Coturnix japonica: one gene and its partner. The protein of the gene in region 1 purifies or fractionates together with the protein of each later gene. This does not show direct contact. Links are inferred from orthologs where the notes say so. Each region holds a gene or a part of one and is shown on either strand. Other genes may lie near its edges.

Region 1 (4,224 bases):
TAGTATAAAGTGATCTATAAATGTGTAATAAATGTTTTATAATGTTTTTGCAACACGTTATAAATGATAAATGAGTGACTATATATGCCATATAAAATATGCATGCTGCATTGTGTGCATTATTATGCCGTTACTGTTCAGGAAACCATTAATAATAAAGTGAATGGAGATGTAAAAGTTGCTGACATGCCCAGCAAGCCATTTATAATGAAATGTATAATCCTTACCATAAAGTAAATACATTGGCCAGTGATTGTTGATGAAATGGAAACACGCTGAATTATTTGTAAGGTATTTATATATTAATGTATATTATCCATATCATGTCATGAAAACACCATCAATATATTAGAGTATATGTATTATTAATTATTTTTTACCTGATTTATAGGCAGCTCCTAAAGCGTTACCTTGTCTCTTCCGCAGCCACGTGTGACTCAGTCTGGTGACTTATGATTTGGATGTGGGTGATGGTATAAACTCACTGTGGTGCTTCTTCCCCCAGCTGTGCCACCTGTGCAGGCCTGGAGCTGCGTCTCCACAGCCTCAATTCAGCCACACTGAGGTCATCATAGGCTTTCCTTGCACTTGTGTTTTGTGCTCTGAGCTGGAAGGAATGGACCCTTTGGGGCCACCTGGTCCCACTGTGTGCAGTGATACAGGGATACCACAGCTCCATCACACAGAATCACAGAATGACCCGGGTTGGAAGGGACCTCAAGGATCATGTAGTTCAAACCCCCTGCCTGGCAGGGCCACCAAACATACACATTTACTAGATCAGGTTGCCCATGGCCCCGTCCAACCTGGCCTTGAACACCTCCAAGGACGGGGCATCCACAACCTCCCTGGGCAGCCTGTTCCAGGGCCTAACCACTCTCCTAGTGAAGAACTTCCCCCTAACATCCAACCTAAATCTTCCTTCTTTTAACTTAAAACCATTTCCCCGTGTCCTGCTATTGTCAGCCCTTTTGGAGAGTTTCCTCCCCTCCTGGGAGTAAGTTCCCTTCAGGTATTGAAATCTGTTCCTTGAGCTCGGGTGTGTGAAGGGATGGGGCTCTAACTGCTCTGTGCGCCCCATCCCACCGCCTCACGGCTCTTAAAACGTTTTCCTTATACACTGCTATAGCTGCCCTCTTTTAGTCTGAACCATCCTATGGCCGGGATGTTCCTGAGCTGCAGCTCCAGCCCCCGCTACGTCCGCCCATTGGTTTCACACAGTGCGGATCCCGGCCCATCTGCCCGCGTTCTCTCCACACAGCGAGGCCGTGCGTAAACCGGTACCAGACGGGCGGCCTGCTCGGCCCTGACACCACATGAAAACGCTATGAGTGTAACAGAACTGCCCTTATCCGTGTGCCCCGCACGGCGGCTGAGGCGGGCCCGGCTGTGGGCGGCCGTGAGGTACCGCCGGCTCCCGCCCCTTTCCCCGCCTCCTCCTCCCTCCGTCCGCCTCACGCCCGCGGCTCCCGCAGGCGGCACGGCCCGGGGCTGCGCTATGGCTGCCATCCAGAACCTGCAGCTGTGGTGCAAGCAGCAATGCGAGGGTTACCGAGATGTCAGCATCACCAACATGACCACCTCGTTCCGCGACGGGTTGGCGTTCTGCGCCATCCTGCACCGCCACCGACCCGACCTCATGTGAGTACCGGCACAGCCCGGCCCTCAGCCGCTCCGTTAGCTCCGATGTTGAGTCTGCTTTCCCTCCTTCCCTCCTCCTGCAGGGAGCTGTGGCTGTCAGATAAACCTGCACAACATCTTTAGGCATCGCTTTGGGGTTTCGTTCATCGCTGTCTGTGTTGGTGGGGCGGTGCGTCCTCCCATCCCGTACATTGCAGCTCTATCGCTGCGTTCCCGTGCACGGTTCTGCCCCTTTGCTTCTTTCTTTGCTGTCATCCCGTGGTTTTTGACCTGCCCCTGCCCCAAACGTAACGCCCGGCTATGAGAATTGTTAAAGGAAACTGAAAATTAACTAGGGATTGTCCTAGGTTTGGTCTTTTTTAGAAGGAATTCTGGGCTCGTTGCACTTTGTTGCGGGGGATTGAGGAGGGAGCAGGCAGTGGAATAGCACAGGCCAGGTGTGTTGGTTTAAGCATTAGGTCATTCCCAGTGAGACGTGGCTGATGGGGTGTGTGTTCTTTACTGGAGTTTTCCGATTGTTTCTTGAGTTCTGCCTTCCCTTGGTTTCCCAATGCAGCCCGGCACCTCTTTATGTGTAGAGATCCTTTATAGGTGTCTCAGTGCTGATGGAAGCCCAAGGACAAGCTGTCGTTTAGCACTCACTCCTCTCCATAGCTTTGAAACTTAGAAGGGGCTGGAGCAGCCTTGAGAGCAGCAGGAACTATTACACGCCTGCTCTGCCATTCCCTGGGCTGTCACCATGGTGTTGCTGTGTGTGGCTTCCTGATGTGCTGTCACATCCACGTGGCTCCAGATATTTCCCTTCCTTCCATTCATTCACTGTCCCAAAGGTAGGAAATATCAGAGCAGAAAGGCTGACGTGATGGGAGGTGCTCACGGACTGGCCTGGGGCTGCTTCCTGGCCAGCTCTGCTGCCAGCCCATCTGGAGTGTGAGTGTGAGCAGGGCTCAGCATCTGGGAACTGGGACCCCTTTAGTGGGTTGTTACAGTCCTAGAAGTGTGTGCTGGGGTTGTGGATAGATGTATGTAAAGTAAATGTTTCTGTGTTGGAGAGGGGAAAGGATCCCTGCAGCATCTTTGTTCCTGCTGAACTTATCTTGTGCTGGAAATCCTACAGGACTTTGCAAAAACCCTTTTTGACTTGGACCAGCTCAACAAGGCTGCCTGGGGGTGAAAGTGAGAGAAGCTTTCGGTATGACTTCCCTCCTCAGCGTCAGTGGTGCAATGTAGGAAATCACCAGGTATACCCTTGCCTGGACAAAGTCCTGCTGCAAGTAAATTATACTTTCAAATAGTCGTCATTTCAGGCCGTCACGTGTAACTCAGCTCCCAGGGCTGAGTATTCGTGCAGCTTCCTTGTGAATCTATAAAAGCCCTTGTGGCAGTTTGGCAGCTGGGTGTACGTGTGGCTGTGATTTTTGCTTCCTGGGGGCTCAAACTGGTTTATCCTGAGCTCCTCCTCTTGTTCTTAGAAAAGCTGAGGATTAAACACATCACACTGAAAAGAAAACCAGAATTGAGTAACTGGTGTTAGCAGTGGCGGTGTGTTTGCTGCAGCCCTTGTATATAAATTGCTTGCAGGACATGATTCAGTCACAGCAGCAGTTTTGTAACAGTGTGTTTTCCGTCTTGGTTTACATTCCTGGGCTGAAGAGTGCATGATATGGAGAGGTGATTTCTCCTTGAAAGAGCCTGAGGAGTTCATAGGAAAACTTGAAGCAATTACAAATTGTGGTAATAATCATGTGCTTCTCTTGTGGGTTCCATGGGTCAGAGGGCAGGTTGGTGCAGGGCTCTTCCCTGTTCTTGTTTTCTTGCCAGGAAACATACGGACAACATGATAATTCCTCTCAGACTTAACCAGTTCTGTGTGTTATCAGTGAGCAGGACAGGCTGTGTAAAATAAGAAACCCATTTCCAATTCACTTCCCACTCACCCAGGGATGCACAGACAGGCTGAGCTCTGTGGGAGCAGAGGCACACACTGAATTACCATGGAAATCTGTTTCTCCTTCATCCCAGCTGAAGTGTGTGTGGTACCCAGCCATGGGTGTGAGCCCATTCTGGGATGGTGGCAGAGCATTAAAGTCCCTGTGGTCAGAGGGAGCACAGCCTCACAGTGGTGTGCCCTGCTCTGCAGCCAGCTCTGGCTGGAGGTTTCTCTGCTCCCCATCCGATAAGTGAGTTAAAAGCAGCAGGGGAGCCGCCCACACTCTCTCTGTTATTGATGCCAGATGTTGAATAAAGGTTTTGATTAAGCTCCTTCATCCTGGATCCTGCTCGTTCCCAGAGTGCTGGCAGCGTTCTGGGAATGGGATGGTTGTGAAATTCCCCTTGACAGCTGTGCACTTGGGCATGCATGTTTGGTGGCCAGAACAGAGCAGCTGTGTGCACCCGTTCCTCCAGCAGCATTTTCTGGGTCGCTGTCAGCTAAGCCAGGCAGGATGAGGCTGTGAGCTGCCAATGTGGCCAGGCAGTTGATAGCCTCTGGACTTTTCCTACTTGGTGAAGGCTCTGAGTGTGCAAAGCATCAGCACAGAGGAAGCACATGTAATTGCAGAGGACTTTGTGAGCATGCAGTGG
Region 2 (4,031 bases), on another chromosome or scaffold:
ACGAAATTACACATTCCTTTTCAAATGGGTTTTGTATTCTGCTGGGGAAGGACAGCCAGGTGCCGGCTGTCCGGGCGGGCCGTGCAGGGCTGGTGCTGCCTCATGGCCAGGGAAGAATTGCTCTGGAAGGGGTTCTCTATCAAATCCTTGTGAACAATGAACTTTTGTTGGGCCAGCTCACAAGCTTAGAATCGTAAGACCCATTTCAATCAGTAACAAAGTCGTGATGCTCTTTAGCCCGATGGCTGAGAAATAACTGAGATCTGTAGATGAAGTGTCTGACGTGGCAGCTGCCCATATTTCTGTATTTCTGCTTCCGCACTGCTGCTCCATCATAGCTCTGTTTTCTTTTGTATCCCCCTCCAACTGCTCTGGTTGCTGCCTTCTGCCTGTCCTCGTGCCCTCTGCTGTCCGCCTCTCCCCCTGCGCTGTTCTCTGTGCCTCTGCCTGGTAGATGAGCTGTATGCTCAGAAACTGAAGTACAAAGCAATCAGCGAGGAGCTGGACCACGCGCTCAATGACATGACCTCCCTGTAGTCTGCACCTCTCGGTGCTCCGTTTGCTGTATCTCTTATGCTCTTCTTGCCTGTAATTCCTTCTGTGCTAAAAGCGATCCATCCTTCAGCCTGCTCTGTAAGAACTGCGCTCAATAAAGATCAGATGCCTTTACCTGTCCGCTTTGGGGCTTTGTTTCCTTATCAGTACTGACGCTGTAAGTACCGCTCGGTGCTCAGCGGGGGGCGCCGGGCAGCTCCGAAAAACCGGAGCAACCGCAAACCCGACAGCGCTGTTGTTTCCGGCGCATCGGGCGGTGTTTGTACGGCACAGCAGCGCAGCACTGTCCGCTTTACGCCTTTTTTTTGCTCCCTTCCTCCAGACAAACTCGCTCAAGCGAAGGAGGAGAACCTGGGGCTGCACCAGACGCTGGACCAGACACTAAACGAACTGAACTGTATATGACCCGGGGAACGCCGCGGCCGGAAGACGAAACCCGCCCTCATCGCGTCACCGCTGCGCTCTGCCGCCGCTCGTCCCGGTTCCGCTCATCCCGGACGTGGCGTCGCGCATTAAACGTGTTACACGTGTTCCGCCATTCCCGCCGCTCCGCTCCTTGCGCCGCGCCGCCTCTCGGTGACGTCACGAGCCGACAGGCCACGTGACGCTGCCCGCGCGCCCCGTCCCCTCCCTCCGGCTTCTACTCGCGCGGAGACGGGCGCCTTCCGCTCGCGGCCGGAAGTGACGTTGCGCCGGGAGCGCGCGGCCAATCGCGGTGCCGCTTACGTCGCGAGCGGAGTCCAATGGCGCGGCGGCTCGAGGTCCCGCCCACCGGGTCGGCGGTGACGTAACGCTCCGCTCGGCCAATCGCCGCGCTGCGGGCCGTGATGGGCGGCGGGCGCGGCCTGTGAGGCGGCGCGGGGGGCGGGCGGTGCCGCAGGGGCGGCGCCCGGGAACATGGCGAAGACGTACGACTACCTGTTCAAGCTGCTGCTCATCGGCGACTCGGGCGTGGGCAAGACCTGCGTGCTCTTCCGCTTCTCCGAGGATGCGTTCAACGCCACCTTCATCTCCACCATCGGTGCGCGGGGCGGCCGGGGCTGCACACAGCGCGGGGGGCGCTGCGGGCCGGGACGGGGCTGTGCCGTGCCGTGCCGTGCCGCGCCGCGGTGCCGTCGGGCCGTGCGGTGCCGTAGTGCAGTGCAGTGTGGTGCCGTCGGTCGGTGCGGTGCTGTCTGTGTGGCGGTGCTGTCTGTGTGGCGGTGCTGTCGGGCGGTGCGTTGCGGGCCTTGTCGCTGCGCTCGGTTCGGGTCCGATCCCGCGGGGCGCTGCGGGCGCTGAGCCGCGGTTCCGTCCCGGCCGTGGGGACGCTGTGCGGCACAGTCTGGTCGGGGGGAAGCGGAGGGAAAAGCGTTGGTTTGTCCTCTGTAGAAGTTAAATGTAATGAGTTGTTTGTCGTTGCAGGCATTGACTTTAAGATCAGGACTATAGAGCTCGATGGCAAGAGGATCAAGCTGCAGATATGGTGAGGCTCGTTGATGCAGTCGGTGCTGCAGTGCAGTGCTGTTACTTTGTGTGCAGTTGTGCTCTTCAGCGGTATCATTAAACTAAAGCAGTTTTAGTGCACGTGAAGACCAACGTGTGACATGAATGTCTGACAGCATTAAGGTGGGAGGTGTGTGACCCCTCGTTCCATCTGTTGCAGGGACACCGCCGGGCAGGAGCGATTCCGCACCATCACGACGGCGTACTACAGGGGAGCCATGGTAGGAGCGCGGCGCAGGGCGGTTCGGCTCCCAGCAGAGCAGTATCAGAGCAGCCTGCAGTGCTGCAGGCACAGCTGCCTGGACTTGGCTGAGCGCCGGCGCTGTGCTGGGTGCTGGGAGGGCCCGGGGCAGACGGCTGCAGTGACTCACTGAGCTCACACCCCATCATTGCATCTGGCAACACGCGCTGACGTTCCGGGTTGTGCTGAAACAGCTCTTCTTTATCAGTCCTTAAGGCACTCCTTTCTGTTACAGACAGGTTTAACTGTTGCATATATGATCATAGCCAAAACAAGTATCTCTCCTTCCTCCTCAGGGCATTATGTTGGTCTATGACATCACCAATGAAAAGTCTTTTGAAAATATTCGGAACTGGGTCAGGAACATTGAAGAGGTAACTTCTCTTTACTTGACATTCAAGGTGCTGTTTCTCCCTCCAAAAGCAGTTGGAAATTAAATGCTTCAGTAACACTTCTTTCAAATTTAGAGTGGGTAGAAAATAGATTAAATGAAAGTCAGGGAATGCTGTGGGTAACAAATTTGCAGTGTGTGCTTTTGATTTGATTTTCCTGGCACAGAGCTGATGGTTCACAGGGCGCTCACAGAGCAGTCGGTGCCTGCAGTGCAGTGCTGGGATCAGGTGCTGTGCAGGAGCTCAGAAACCTACAGAGTGCTCAGCACCCATGTATCCATTTGAAGTTCTTGATGGAAACCTCGTCATTTGGCAGTATTTGTAAGACATAAACACAGTCCTTTCTTTCCTCTGTTCCTATCTCAGCATGCCTCTCCGGACGTTGAAAAAATGATCCTTGGGAACAAATGTGATGCAAATGACAAAAGACAAGTTTCTAGAGAGCAAGGGGAGAAGGTAAGTGTCACGGGCTGCGCCCAGATGCTGAAGGTGAAGGCAGTACGTAGAAGTCAGTGCTCCCTGGGGTGATCAGTGTCTGCAGAGCCTGCTGAGCTCCTTCCTGCCAGCACTGATGCAAAGTGCAGTTGCTGCCTGAGCAGAAGCAGCCTGTGCTGCAGTGTAACAGCAGCGCTCATCGTTGTGTGTGCCTCCTCAGTGGAACTTCTGAGTGCAGCTACCGAACGCTTCCCAAGCTGTAGCTGCAGTCCAACAAAAAGATGAGTCTGTTCAGAATGCAGCTGGGTTACCTGGTTGAGATGTTAGATGCGGAGTAACTGAGTTCTCAGCCAAAGAAAGAAAATCATTTAGGAATGGCTGCTTTTGTCATACACAGGTAGGCAGGGTTGTTGTTTCTGGCATCGGATGTCAGTTAAAGTAGAGAATGTACTTTTATGTACCACAGACGTTACAGAACTGACAAGGTATCTGTTAGAAATAGATGTATGTATTTAAAGACAAAGGAGCAGACAAAAATGTGTGTTTTGTTCTATGAAAAAGAAGAACAAAGTCCAGTAAGAACAGATGCTGATAGCAATGCAGCTCAGTTCCTGGTTTGTGGAGGAGATCCCGCGCTGTCTGTTATGTTTATGGCTGTTCCTGCAGCCACCCGACTAACACAGAACCTGCTTTTGTTCAGCTTGCAGCGAGTTTTGGAATTAAATTCATGGAGACCAGTGCAAAAGCAAATATAAACATAGAGAATGTAAGTACTGCGACCTTTCTCTTGTATTTATTGTCTTATAACGCGTGAAGATAAGCTGTAAGAACAGTTGCCCATCCTGACTGAGTGCAGAACTCAACTGCTGATACTTCATATGGGCTGTTACAGTCAGAAGGGCAGATTATTGTTAAACAAAGCT

The links. The genes of interacting proteins can lie anywhere in the genome.
Region 2: the proteins of MICALL2 (region 1) and RAB8A purify together in Homo sapiens (co-immunoprecipitation; 3 studies listed by BioGRID and IntAct, with this or other methods). This does not show direct contact. The link is inferred for Coturnix japonica from reciprocal best matches to the Homo sapiens genes MICALL2 and RAB8A.

What each region holds. Positions count from the first base shown.
Region 1 is NC_029529.1:2,641,216-2,645,439, reverse strand, and holds the start of MICALL2 (MICAL-like protein 2), read left to right. Parts: upstream 1-1,421; 5' UTR 1,422-1,498; coding exon 1,499-1,641; intron 1,642-4,224. UniProt on the Homo sapiens protein: Effector of small Rab GTPases which is involved in junctional complexes assembly through the regulation of cell adhesion molecules transport to the plasma membrane and actin cytoskeleton reorganization.
Region 2 is NC_029543.1:3,483,455-3,487,485, reverse strand, and holds the start of RAB8A (ras-related protein Rab-8A), read left to right. Parts: upstream 1-1,222; 5' UTR 1,223-1,452; coding exon 1,453-1,576; intron 1,577-1,959; coding exon 1,960-2,020; intron 2,021-2,200; coding exon 2,201-2,261; intron 2,262-2,577; coding exon 2,578-2,655; intron 2,656-3,039; coding exon 3,040-3,129; intron 3,130-3,808; coding exon 3,809-3,874; intron 3,875-4,031. Other genes in the region: TPM4 (tropomyosin alpha-4 chain), read left to right, coding at 455-537. UniProt on the Homo sapiens protein: The small GTPases Rab are key regulators of intracellular membrane trafficking, from the formation of transport vesicles to their fusion with membranes.